Saccharomyces cerevisiae S288C: one gene and its partner. The protein of the gene in region 2 purifies or fractionates together with the protein of the main gene of each other region. This does not show direct contact. Each region holds a gene or a part of one and is shown on either strand. Other genes may lie near its edges. The genes, in order: YLR419W and ECM22.

Region 1 (6,865 bases), 360 kb from region 2:
GACATGAGTGAATTGTGGGATAATTGTTGAGATTCTATTTTTTTGTAAAGCTATAATATTAGGCATACAAAACATATTAGAAGTTCTCAACGAGGACATGGGAATTCGCAGGAAGAAATCGATATTTCTATGTTATAATATTAGTGTTTCTTCTTTCATTTCAAACGATACCATTCATTTTGTAATTGCATAATTAATCCCTGCATTTCAGCTCCCATTAAATTGGCTAATCCCTAGTGTTGTTCTATTAGTCTCATGATTTATGTCTTTTCTTAACGGTGTATAGTAATTTTCTAGCAACGAAAATGATGTTGGTAAACAATTGTACTAGTATTTGATAAATTTTTCAGAGGCTTACCAACATTAATGAGATATAAACAGATGTATATTGCAGAATAAAAAAGATGTAGCAATATGCATGCGTAAAGATTAATCAAGTTAAACTGGATGGTGTTCGTATCCTGTATTTCCTTGTTGTTGTATTATCGACGGAGGGTTGGCCGAGTGGTCTAAGGCGGCAGACTTAAGATCTGTTGGACGGTTGTCCGCGCGAGTTCGAACCTCGCATCCTTCAGTATTTTTTTTTTATTTTGACGGCGCCACAAAATTTTTAAAATATGGCAAAGACAATGTGCTATGTAGTTTACGGGATTCTAGCCCTGATTCAGCAAAGAGAAAAACACGCAGTCGCAATAATCTCTTAGATTTTTGTTAGTGTTTTATACTTTGACACTTCTATATGTTAAAAAAATTCCTTTTCGAAAATGAAGATGATAATTATTATACAGGGACTACAGTAGGAACTGATTACTATTGTTCGGAAGCTATAATTTTTTCAACAATTTTTAGAGTTTTATCAGCACCAGAATTATCAATTTGAGATTTTTTAGCATAATCGGGACTTTCTAACTTTTTCCTTATGGCCTCATCAAGTTGTGTTCTCAGTTCCTTGATTAAAACACCATTCTTACACCAGGTTCTAATTGGGAGCCAGTTGTCGACAACGATGCCCGGTGAATGAATAGTACCTCCAATGTCATAAGAGATTGCCCCTCCGAATAATAGTAATGATAATGTAGTAGTTGGGGTTAAGTCCCTCAAATACAACTTATTAGTAACTTGAGACGTGGTAAACAAAACAAATGGGTATTTTACAACGGTTGGTATTTTGGATTGACGGGATATTGGACCATCCACCTCAGAGAGTAACTTAGCGTCTTCCAAGTTTACTGAATTGGTTGAAAATAAGACTGAACTTGGATGAATGAATGCCCTAGTAGCAGGTAACGGTAAATCTTCCAAATCAACCTTTTGCGTCTCTTGCGAAATTTTCGTCTTATATTCTTCTAATTTGTCCTGATACTCTTCGCTTCGAATCCAGTATTTGATCATTTTGGCTTCAGGATCTTTTTCAACAGCACCGGAACTTGTTGATAGATACTTTACATCTGGTAGTTGCACCCTGGCTATGTGTGGATAAAACGCACCCGTGAGAATGGCCCTTAGGATATCAAAATTTCGCTCGTTCCTATTCAAATCAGAAATGCTTCCAACTTTATAGTCCATTGGTAGAAAGCCTACATCTTTCAAAATAGAATAATATTGGGCTGTTGATGACTTAATTTCATTAATTTTATTATAGGAAAGTAAATTGTCTCTCAAATATTTCCTTTTGATGCTCGAATCTTTGATTTTGAAGTAATCTCTGACAATTTCCAATACTGCAAATAAATCCCCACGACTTTCATATTTACATAGCAGTTTTTTTATCTTTTCCCTATTTTCAAAACCTCCGATGAAAGGCAAAACTCCAATACCGAGTATCGAGACAAGTAAAACAGAAATGTCCGTACAGCCAAACAGAATGCCGTATATTAGTAATTTACCATGCTTACTATCCATGACAGGCATCAGGCTAATAAATTGACCTAGCTGTGTGAGTGACTTGTCGGACTCATCAACAAGTCCTATCGTTGTTAATATTCTTTCTGCCTTTTGCAGAGCTGGTAAAGGAGGGGCATCCAAAGCTGTGCTCAAAAACGCTTTAACGTCCTTTATACCCATAGCCTTAACAGATAAATAAAGGGATTCCAACGGGATTCTTTTGATTTCTGGAATTGGCATTGATATCATGTCGTTTTCGTATAAATTTTTAGAAAATAATTTGTAAGATAAACCTTCACGTACTCTACCAGCACGACCTCTACGTTGTTTAACTTCAGCTTTTGAAATAAACGACTCAATTAGTTTTGTAGTATTATCCTTTGGATTATAGAACATCGATTTGGCACGGCCTGTGTCAATAGTTGCAACACAGTCATCTATAGTAATAGATGTTTCAGCAATATTTGTGGATACAACAACTTTCCTTTTCCCATGATATTTTTTGAACACCCTTTTTTGGTCTTCAGGAGTTAGAGCGGAGTGCAAGGGTAGAACCATAAAATCTGCTTCATTTGATTTATTAGCTAGCAAATTGCAGCACTTATTAATCTCTCCCACACCAGGCAAAAAAACGATAATAGATCCGTTGTCATTAGCAGCTTTCAGGCGTTTATGTACATATTCAACCACTTGACAAAGCAAATCATAATTGATTTGCCCAGATGTAAAAAACTTAGAATCTGCTCTCGGCTTCAAATATTGGTCGTCATTATTTCTTTCATCAACGCTATCATCATCATAAGACAAAGCCTTCTCTCTCTTGATCTTGAAGTCAAGGTCACTAAGAATGTCTTCCAAGAAGTAATCAGTGATGGGGAAAGTGCGTCCTTCTATGTGACATGTTGCTAGCCCCGGAAAGAATTTTTTGAACAAGTCAACGTTAACAGTAGCACTCATTAAAACAATTTTCATGCCGCGAACTCTATGTAAGAGATTTTTCATCAATGTCACTATCAAGTCAGTATCAATAGAACGTTCATGAACTTCATCAATAACAACAATTGTGTTTTCTAACATAGTTCTAGCATTCTGTAACAACCTAACAAGAACACCTGTGGTCATGAACTTGATACGTGTGGAAGCTTTGGTTTTATTGACACCTCTTATTACGTAACCTACCTCTTCCCCACAAGTTACACAGCGTTCATCAGAAACACGTTCAGCAAGCCCAATAGCCGAGATTCTTCTGGGTTGCGTACATACGATTTTAGTCTTACCGAAATCTCCTTTTTCCTTCTGTAAGAAATCTAGTATAAACTGAACGACCTGAGTGGATTTACCCGAACCTGTTTCACCAGTAATCAATACAACTTCGTTTTTATTGATGATATCTATAATAACCTTTTGCTTCTTCCAGGCAGGCAGTTGTTCTCTAACTAACTGCATACTTTTGTATTCAGAACTTTTGATCCTTTTTGTGTACTCTTCCCTTAGGACAGAGAGCGTGTCTTCAGAAATGGTGGTTTTTGTGAATTTTCTCGAACTAGAATTATTTATACTTCTCTTACCGTTTGAAATGTTTCTTTTGTTTATTGCACCTTTCGAATCTGAATCTGGAATTAATGGGCCAGGGTTGTCAATTATCTTAGATATATTCTCTTTCAACCATTCATAAATATGATATACTAACATATCGCCTATTAGATTTCCTTCCTGGAGATAATGCAGTAACCTGGTTAATATTTGTTTCTTAATATAATCAGGTAGCTTGTAATTTTTATCAAAGGTTGAAACTACAATACCAGGTAATGATGCAGGATAATTTTTGGTTCTATATACTTTCAATTTTATTTTGAGTTTTTCAATTAAATTGAGCGTGTAGTGTGAATCTTCCTTGGCGTCCATCACGCAGCCCTCATAAATGCTCTCTAGGCTCTCTAGCTCTTGGTTCCAACATTCTATAGATTCAGTTTCTGATACAGGTTCATTCGTATTGCTATTTAAAGTTGGTAAAATTTCCCTCGTCAAGAACCCGGCCGCTTCATTTTCATTCATATCGTTTTGTTGTAAAGCCAATAAGGCTTCATCTGAAGAGACACCAATTTCTGTTAAACGCTCAACGATCATTCTAGTTGATAACGGTAGGTTTGTTATTTCAACCTTGTTTTTTGTATCACCTTTCTTTTTATGAAAAAATGGTGGTAAATCATCTTCCGGTAAGTTAAACAATAAGAAAGACAATGGATCTTTATAAAGCATGGCTTCCTCTACGTGTTTTGGTCTAAATTGTAGAGTTAATAATTTTGCCTTGAGATCTTCCCGATTTTCAGCAATTGTCTCATTTTTATGGCTAATTTTTTTAGCTTGCCAATCAATTTTCTCTTTCAATGAAGTTTCTATCAGTTGTCTAGACGATTCATCAAGGTCAACAAATATAGAATTTTCCCAAACCTTTTTTGGAAACCGCACTAATGAAGGATTATGTGAGTTTTTATGAGATGCTACTTTTCTCTCTTGCCTGTCCTTTCCAGAAGAAGAAATTCCACCATGGCTAGATAAAATGGTTCGTGCAACTTGTTCTTTCTGTGCTTGATTATTCTGGGCCACTTGTTCTTTTTCACGTTGGGCTTTGAGCTTTCTGTCTTCCACCATTGTCTTGAAGGGATCAAGATCAAATAGTTTGTTTATACGCTTTTCGTCTGTTTTCAGGTTATCTTTTCGAAAATCGTCGAGGGCATACCATGTTTTTCTATGGTTTGGCGGAAGCATCATGTGCAGGTTGGTGTTGTATGCAATGCGATATAGCGCAATAGTGGAGGCCATGTGTCTAGCTTCAATTGGAGTTTCTTGAGGAATTACAAGGCCTTTTCCTGAAGCTTTGTCATAGGTTGGATCGTTCATTCTTGCAGTCAATGTTTCTTTTGTCTTTGGGTCAGTGAATGACAAAACTGCAATTGCAATGAAACCTTTATCACCGATTTTCTTCATATCATACTCTACCTTATTCCATTTTCGTTTCTGACATGTTTCGTGTAAGATTGTATGAGGCAATTTACCTGTCCAGCTTGCTGTGGATGTCACTTTTGCTCTATTACTTTGTTGCTTGGCCCTTTTGTCATCTTCTGGCTCTGGTTCTTGTCCCTTTTTTCCTTTTGCTTTCTTTTTGCCAGCAGTTGTTGGTACATCATTCACTGGAGTTGAACTTTTTGAGTTATTTTTCGTTTTTTTGGCCATTTATCAAAAATTAATGAAAGCAATTGCGATGTAAAGTATAAAGTGAATGATTATTGTTAATACTTCCCTTAGCTAAGAGTCTCTTTTACAACTTTGAATAGTATGTATCTTTTTAGTGTATAATTTTTCAACTCATCGAACACCGAGACGGTTAACCGGCAACGCAATATTGTTCTCAAAGCATAAGGATGAAAATTTCGATTGGACAGGTTTAAAACAAGTACTTCAACGAATATTCCACCCTTTTTCAAATTGCGTTTCCAAAACAGGCTGTTTCTTAATTCGGGGCGTTAAAAGAATAATAATTTGAGCAAGAAACTGGTGAAAAAATTATGGCGAACTCATTAGACAGACTGAGAGAACACTTAAAGAACGGCGATAAACTGGTTCTAAAAAATAATGAGGGACAGTCTACTGATGATATTACGAAAGCAACCATGGTAGAAACTCTATCCAGTGATGGTAGTACCCAAGATAGTTTTCCATTGAATGAAGAAACGGAAATTGAGATTGATGGTTCATTGGTACAGTTACGAATAATTGTTCATTGTTGGATGAATAAGGACTCAAGTGCCGCAGACTATCTAGCAGACTGTCAGAATAAACAATTGACTAATGTTTCATTTTTACAAAGAACTGATTTAATAAATTGGTTGTCTGGCAATACGGAATCATCCCAATATCTGAAAGCACCCGGTCAGAAAGGCGAGACATCCGATAAAGTAGATATAGAAAATAAAACTTTGGCTGGTGAATTGTCGACTGTAAAATCAACCACTTCAGCATCTCTTGAAAATGATAGTGAAGTTTCCGATCCAGTTGTGGTGGAAACAATGAAACATGAACGTATATTGGTGGACCACAACTCTGCATTGCGTGGTGCTAAGCCGATCAACTTTGGTTATCTAATAAAAGATGCAGAACTAAAATTAGTACAGTCGATCAAAGGATCTTTACGAGGATCTAAATTGCCTCCCGGTCATAAGGGCGCGCACGGTCGTATTTCCAAAACAAATGGTTCATCAGGTGGCCCTCGCAAAGATCCAATTATTTTGATTCCTTCGGCTGCGTCATCAATTTTAACTGTTGCAAATATAAAACAGTTCCTGCTGGAGTCAAAATACGTGAATCCTCGTAACTTACCGTCAGTGCCAAACGGATTAGTTAACATAGAGAAAAACTTCGAACGTATATCAAGACCAATTAGATTTATTATAGTCGATAACACTAGGATGTTTACTAAGCCAGAATATTGGGACAGAGTTGTCGCTATCTTCACTACTGGTCATACGTGGCAGTTTAATAACTATCAGTGGAATTCGCCACAGGAATTATTTCAACGCTGCAAAGGCTACTATTTCCACTTTGCCGGTGATTCTGTACCACAACACGTGCAGCAATGGAATGTAGAAAAGGTCGAACTTGACAAAAATAAAAGATTTAAGGATGTGGAAGTCGTGCGTTATTTCTGGCATAGTTTAGAAAAGGAACTTATTTCAAGAGGATACCGTTGAATACGATAAACGGAAGAATGGTATTTCGGCCATTGAAAGTGTTTCTTCAGTCGGCGTTTCTATTCCGATTTTGTACTCTATGTTATGTGTTATTATTGGCATTTCAAGTAACGAAGTGAAGTTTAGCCGCGCGTTTATATGTAAACTATTTATTTGGGAGAATGTAGTATTACGAGCAGGTAATCAAACCATGCATTTATTACTTATATATGCGAGGGCCAATAAGAGTTTTT
Region 2 (4,934 bases):
GCCTTTAACAATAGAATCCCAACAATTATTCAATTATTCACCCATAAAATCCACCTATTTTTCAAGAAAGCATTAGATTTGCTCATTATTATTTATTATTAACATAAAAGTGCCTTTGGTAGTTACTATGTATTTAGTGTGGTGACCCGTATTCCTCATATATATAAGTAGCTACCACATTATGTTCAATCAATATATCTTTAACTCAGCTCAGCATTGTCTGAATTGCTCGCTTAAGTTTTTATCCTGTGATTAGTGCATTTACACATAAACGTATACCGGGTGTACCTCAATATACTATGTAAACATTTAAATTGTTACCATAACAACTCATGTTATTATTAATGATCACTTGACAACATATAAAAACGAAAGAAGAAATAATAATACTACTATGTATAAGTATCCATTTCCTTTTGTGGATTCCTCAAAATGGCCAGTATATTCGGAAGTAACATAATGTAGTTATTCATCGATGAGGTTCACATTCTGTAGCACTGACCCATCGAAAGAAAAGAGTTTATATTTTGATAAATTACATAAAAGCTGAAAAGTTTGTAGTGGTCATAGAAGGTAACCCACCTCCTAAGAAATCCAGCATCATATGCATACCACCACCTCCACTATACTCATCAACATCCTGTGGTAAAACCTGTGATACGCTATCCAAGAACCACACTTTGTCCTTTATTTCTGTGGTATAACCTCTCAATAATGTATAGTAAGACCTCATTATTCTCATGGCCCCTAGGTCGCCTGTCATTAATAATGCTAAAAAAGTCCTATCCAAAAGAGCAGGAAATGAGAAGACTCTCAACATAAAATCTAATTGATTTTTTTCGCGATGCAGTTTGTCCAAATATGCTAAAGTTATCAAGTACGGTGAATCAATTTCTACGGGATATAAATCTGCTATACTTTCGTCAAAGCATACGAGTTCCGATATCGTATTATTGTTATTTCCATCACCATTATTGCTATTGTCATTATCATTATTATGATTACTTTGGTTGATTACAGCTTCACCCAAATCACTCAAGTCAACAGAAATTAAGTTATAAAACTTGGATGTCTCCGACAGGGGCCATACAGCAGTTAGTATAGTTACGGCGCCTTTAACATGGAAAATCCATGCCGTTGGTGAGCTGCTTGAAGCATTTGCCAATGAATCTAGGATTAATATTAGAGCACTAGCCACCAAAGCATCTGTGTTATCATCTGAAATTTCGAGCACAGCCTCTCTTAACAGTCTCAACGCTTCTAAACGATGACTAGACACGTAGTTATCCAAGCCGGCTTCAGTTCTGGACAAATGAGTGGCGCTAAAAGCCAAAATTGTATGCATCAAGAAGGGAAAATGAAAAGCCAAATCCGGAATATAAGTGCTCCATACTTCAGGACCAGAAATGCCTGCTTCGGTTATGGTATGCCATACGTCAGTACAATAGTGATGAAAAAGTTTTAGATCTATCAAATTCAAATTTGATTTTCTAGACAGCCCGACTAATTCAGGGACTAGTCGTGAGGCTGATGAAGCGTTTGAATGGGGAGAAGATTGTTGTTGAGTGTGAGAATTTGATGAACGTGGAGACAATGCCTCCGAGTTGGATAACAGGTCACCCATTGGGGACGTCTTCAAAGTAGGAGAATTTCCCAAAGCGGTCCTGTTGTCCGGTATAGATAACAATGACTTTGTAGAGGTTACATTGGATACTCCCGTTGAAGGGGACGCAATGTTTTGATCTATGGAAGGTTTGGACAACGTGTGTGGGGGACTGATTGTGAGACCGGTATTGTCGATTATCAAGTTTTTGTTATGAGATAGTATATCAGAAGCAGTAACTTTATTTTCGTTTCCGTTAAGGGGGTTATTGCCCGAATTAACAGCATCCGTCTTAGTATTATCCAATGGGTTCTTCGTAAATTGCTTGTTTTTGTCCTCCTGTTCCTGTTGCATATTTGCGAGTGCCTCCTCTGCTGTGCTAACTTTGATTGCTCTGTTATTAGATGTAGCAAACTTTCCGAGGCCAAATAACTCTTGAAACTCAGAGGCCATTCCATTTGCAGCACCGTATGGAAATAATGTATTGAAGCTCTTCATATTGAAGTTCAAGCCCATCTTGTTCAATTGCGCTAGCTGGTCGAAGGGAATATTGCTGAAGGGGGACTGTGTTCCTTGTTGTTGTGGAATTTGCTGATTTTGTTGTTGAAGTTGTGGCTGCTGCAATCCATTCGTCACCGAATTTAGCCTACCAGGCGAGAGTAAGCCGTTAAGGCTACTTGATAAATTCATGGCCGTTGATTGAAAACTAGGTGTTATCGGTATACTCAATGGCGAATTCCCTGGTAGGGCCATGTTTGGGTGGTTGTTGTTTATCATTGAACTGGGAGCTGTTTGTGTTATATTATTATGCGCTTCAGCTCCATTTGCACTGCTGTTGGTACTGTTACTGGTGTTATTCACTAAACTCGCTAATAGGTGCGGTAACAAAAGATTCTCCATATTATTGGATACGGATGGAGGAACGCTATTAGGGGAATTGCTTTGTTCATCAGTACCAACATGTGGCAACAGTTGCTGCTGTAACTGAACTTGCTGTTGTTGACGAAATTGCTGTTCTTGTTGATGATGAAGTTGCTGTTGTTGTTGTTGTAACATGATGGCATTGTCACTCAGATTTTTCTTGCCTACCCTATCGTGGACCGCTGATGCAAATTTTGACGACGAAGAATCTTTTCTTCTTCTTGGCTGAATAGGGCTGTAAACACAGTCCAATTTCATGTTTGTACATTTCTTGCAAAATGGTTTGCCTTCATCACATTTTACTCTTCTTCTTTTACAATTGTCGCAACCGGTCTTGGACTTGTTATGAAACTTCCGTTTCCCTGTCGAAGTCTTGCTCACTTTCTTGCCCCCAACCTCAATCAGTTCAGCATCCTTCTCTCTTTCTTGTCCAGCATTCCCATCATCGGATGTCATGTTATGTTAGATGGAGATCTATGGATAAACGAAATATAAACCTTAAATGAAAAAAACCGTCGACTTAACTCCTCTATATTATGTAAAGGCGAAATGTTATTTGTGCCTTTGAAAAGTGGAGGTCTTGGTTGCTTCTCCTTCGACGATAATCGATTTCGGTGACTAGTTAGTAGATGATGTAATCGTAGACGCAGGGAACCCTTGCTTTTCCCCAATCGTAACAAAAAAAAACAAGGGGAAATAAACTATTAGATAGTACGAGTTCGTTAAGTTAAAAAAAAGGCTATAAAAGTCGAAGAACGAATGATTACGACCAACATCTATTGTTCAAACTTGCCTTCGTTGAGTTTATCGAACGCGCTCGTTTAAATTTTTCCGACAAGAACGAGGAACGAGTCACCAATTACGTTTTCGGCTCTGTCGGTTGCAGGATCTGTAAAAGCGATATAGATACACACGTCAGCATGAAGCTCTTATGATTTGGCGAGTAGTGTTAGTACGTTAAATGCTACGACTCGGCATATACTGTGCTCGTTTTTATCAGTTTCATCCGAGGATTGTAGCCTTTTTTTTTCATTTGTTGATGTTTCTCTAGTATTTTCCGTCTTGTAGTGGTTTCGGGTATGTTGAACATAAACATTAAAAAAGACGATTAAATAAACTTGAGTTTGTACAAAGGAAAGCTGTAGTCATAGAGTATTTAGAAAAAAAAGCAGCCACAGTTTACATGAAGATGTGACCAATGAGGAGGCATCGGTTTGCCTTTGAATCTCAATCGCTTGAAAATTGAGTTCTTTTCGAATGATGACACCTCCGAGAAATGGCATTTCTATGCTAGCGCCACTCTACCCTTTCAAACGTCCGTACTCATATGAAGTTTCATCCTTCACGCAGCGATCTAAAAAGTTGTAAAAAAAAATACATTTAGGCCTAGCTATATATGCTACTATGTATCATTCAGTGAAATGGCTGAGGTTATATAAAATACTGGGAGGTCGTTTTTACGCTAAAGCAGACCTTGCGGATCTTTTCCTGTAGAATATATTTGTAGCATAAGTCCAATTTTACGGGCGCATTTTCAAAATCAAGGTGATATTGACATATTTTGAAGAGCACCCAATGGGCTAGCTGCAAGAACAAAGAGACCAGAAAGCCTAGAATTAAATGCCAGAAAAATGGAAATTTATTCTAGACAAAAATTGTTCGGCACCTCTACAGACGTTTAACGAACCTGGTCCGGCCTTTGAGGCGATCAAAAAAAGGCCCATTTTTGTGTTCCGCGTAATTGGTTTGCGCCTTTCCATGGAGCTTGGTGGGCGACATTCTCAAACTGGTTTCCTGATACATCATGCACGCCCGTAAAGGGTTTAAGTATTGATTGCTAGCCTGAATGTTTCATATGCATACCGTGTCTATGCAACGAATATATTTCAGAAAAAAGCACGAAAGCCAAATTTTTGATGTTAAGAGGTGTTTTTGCCCGTAAACGGAGAAGACGTGGTAGGACTCGCAAATGTCGCGTTTAGCGTTGAAGAACATGGAAGTATTGAACGTTTGGGGCTTGACGGCTCGACTTTTTTGCACTACTCCGCCTTGAACAGACGGATGATCCTGGCGCAAGAAACAAAGAGAATCAACTCTGAGCAAAGCGAAAAAATGAAATACAACGATAATAAAAGGATAGGAAGGTGTATATATAAGTTAATTTTAGATATAGATTAAGAAAAGATGGGCATATACTAATATGACTACAAAATTGCACATTTTTTACTTTTCTTGATAACAGGAGGCTCCAAGGCGGCCACGATAGCTTCATCGAATACATTCTTCAAACCGCGTTGTGTTAGTGCCGAACACTCGACATATTTTACTGCTTTCAGTTCTCTTGCTAACCTGGAACCTTGTTCTGATGTAATCGGACGTAATCTTTGTCTTTGCAACTTCTCGATGATTA

Evidence for each region.
Region 1: the proteins of ECM22 (region 2) and YLR419W purify together in Saccharomyces cerevisiae (affinity purification with mass spectrometry, with the first as the bait; one large-scale study listed by BioGRID). This does not show direct contact.

What each region holds. Positions count from the first base shown.
Region 1 is NC_001144.5:956,681-963,545, reverse strand, and holds YLR419W (RNA helicase), read right to left. Parts: upstream 5,119-6,865; coding exon 811-5,118; downstream 1-810. Other genes in the region: CDC73 (Cdc73p), read left to right, coding at 5,451-6,632; ESCRT-II subunit protein VPS36, read right to left, coding at 6,836-6,865. UniProt on the Saccharomyces cerevisiae protein: Probable ATP-binding RNA helicase.
Region 2 is NC_001144.5:599,484-604,417, forward strand, and holds ECM22 (Ecm22p), read right to left. Parts: upstream 2,981-4,934; coding exon 536-2,980; downstream 1-535. Other genes in the region: Rho family GTPase CDC42, read right to left, coding at 4,729-4,934.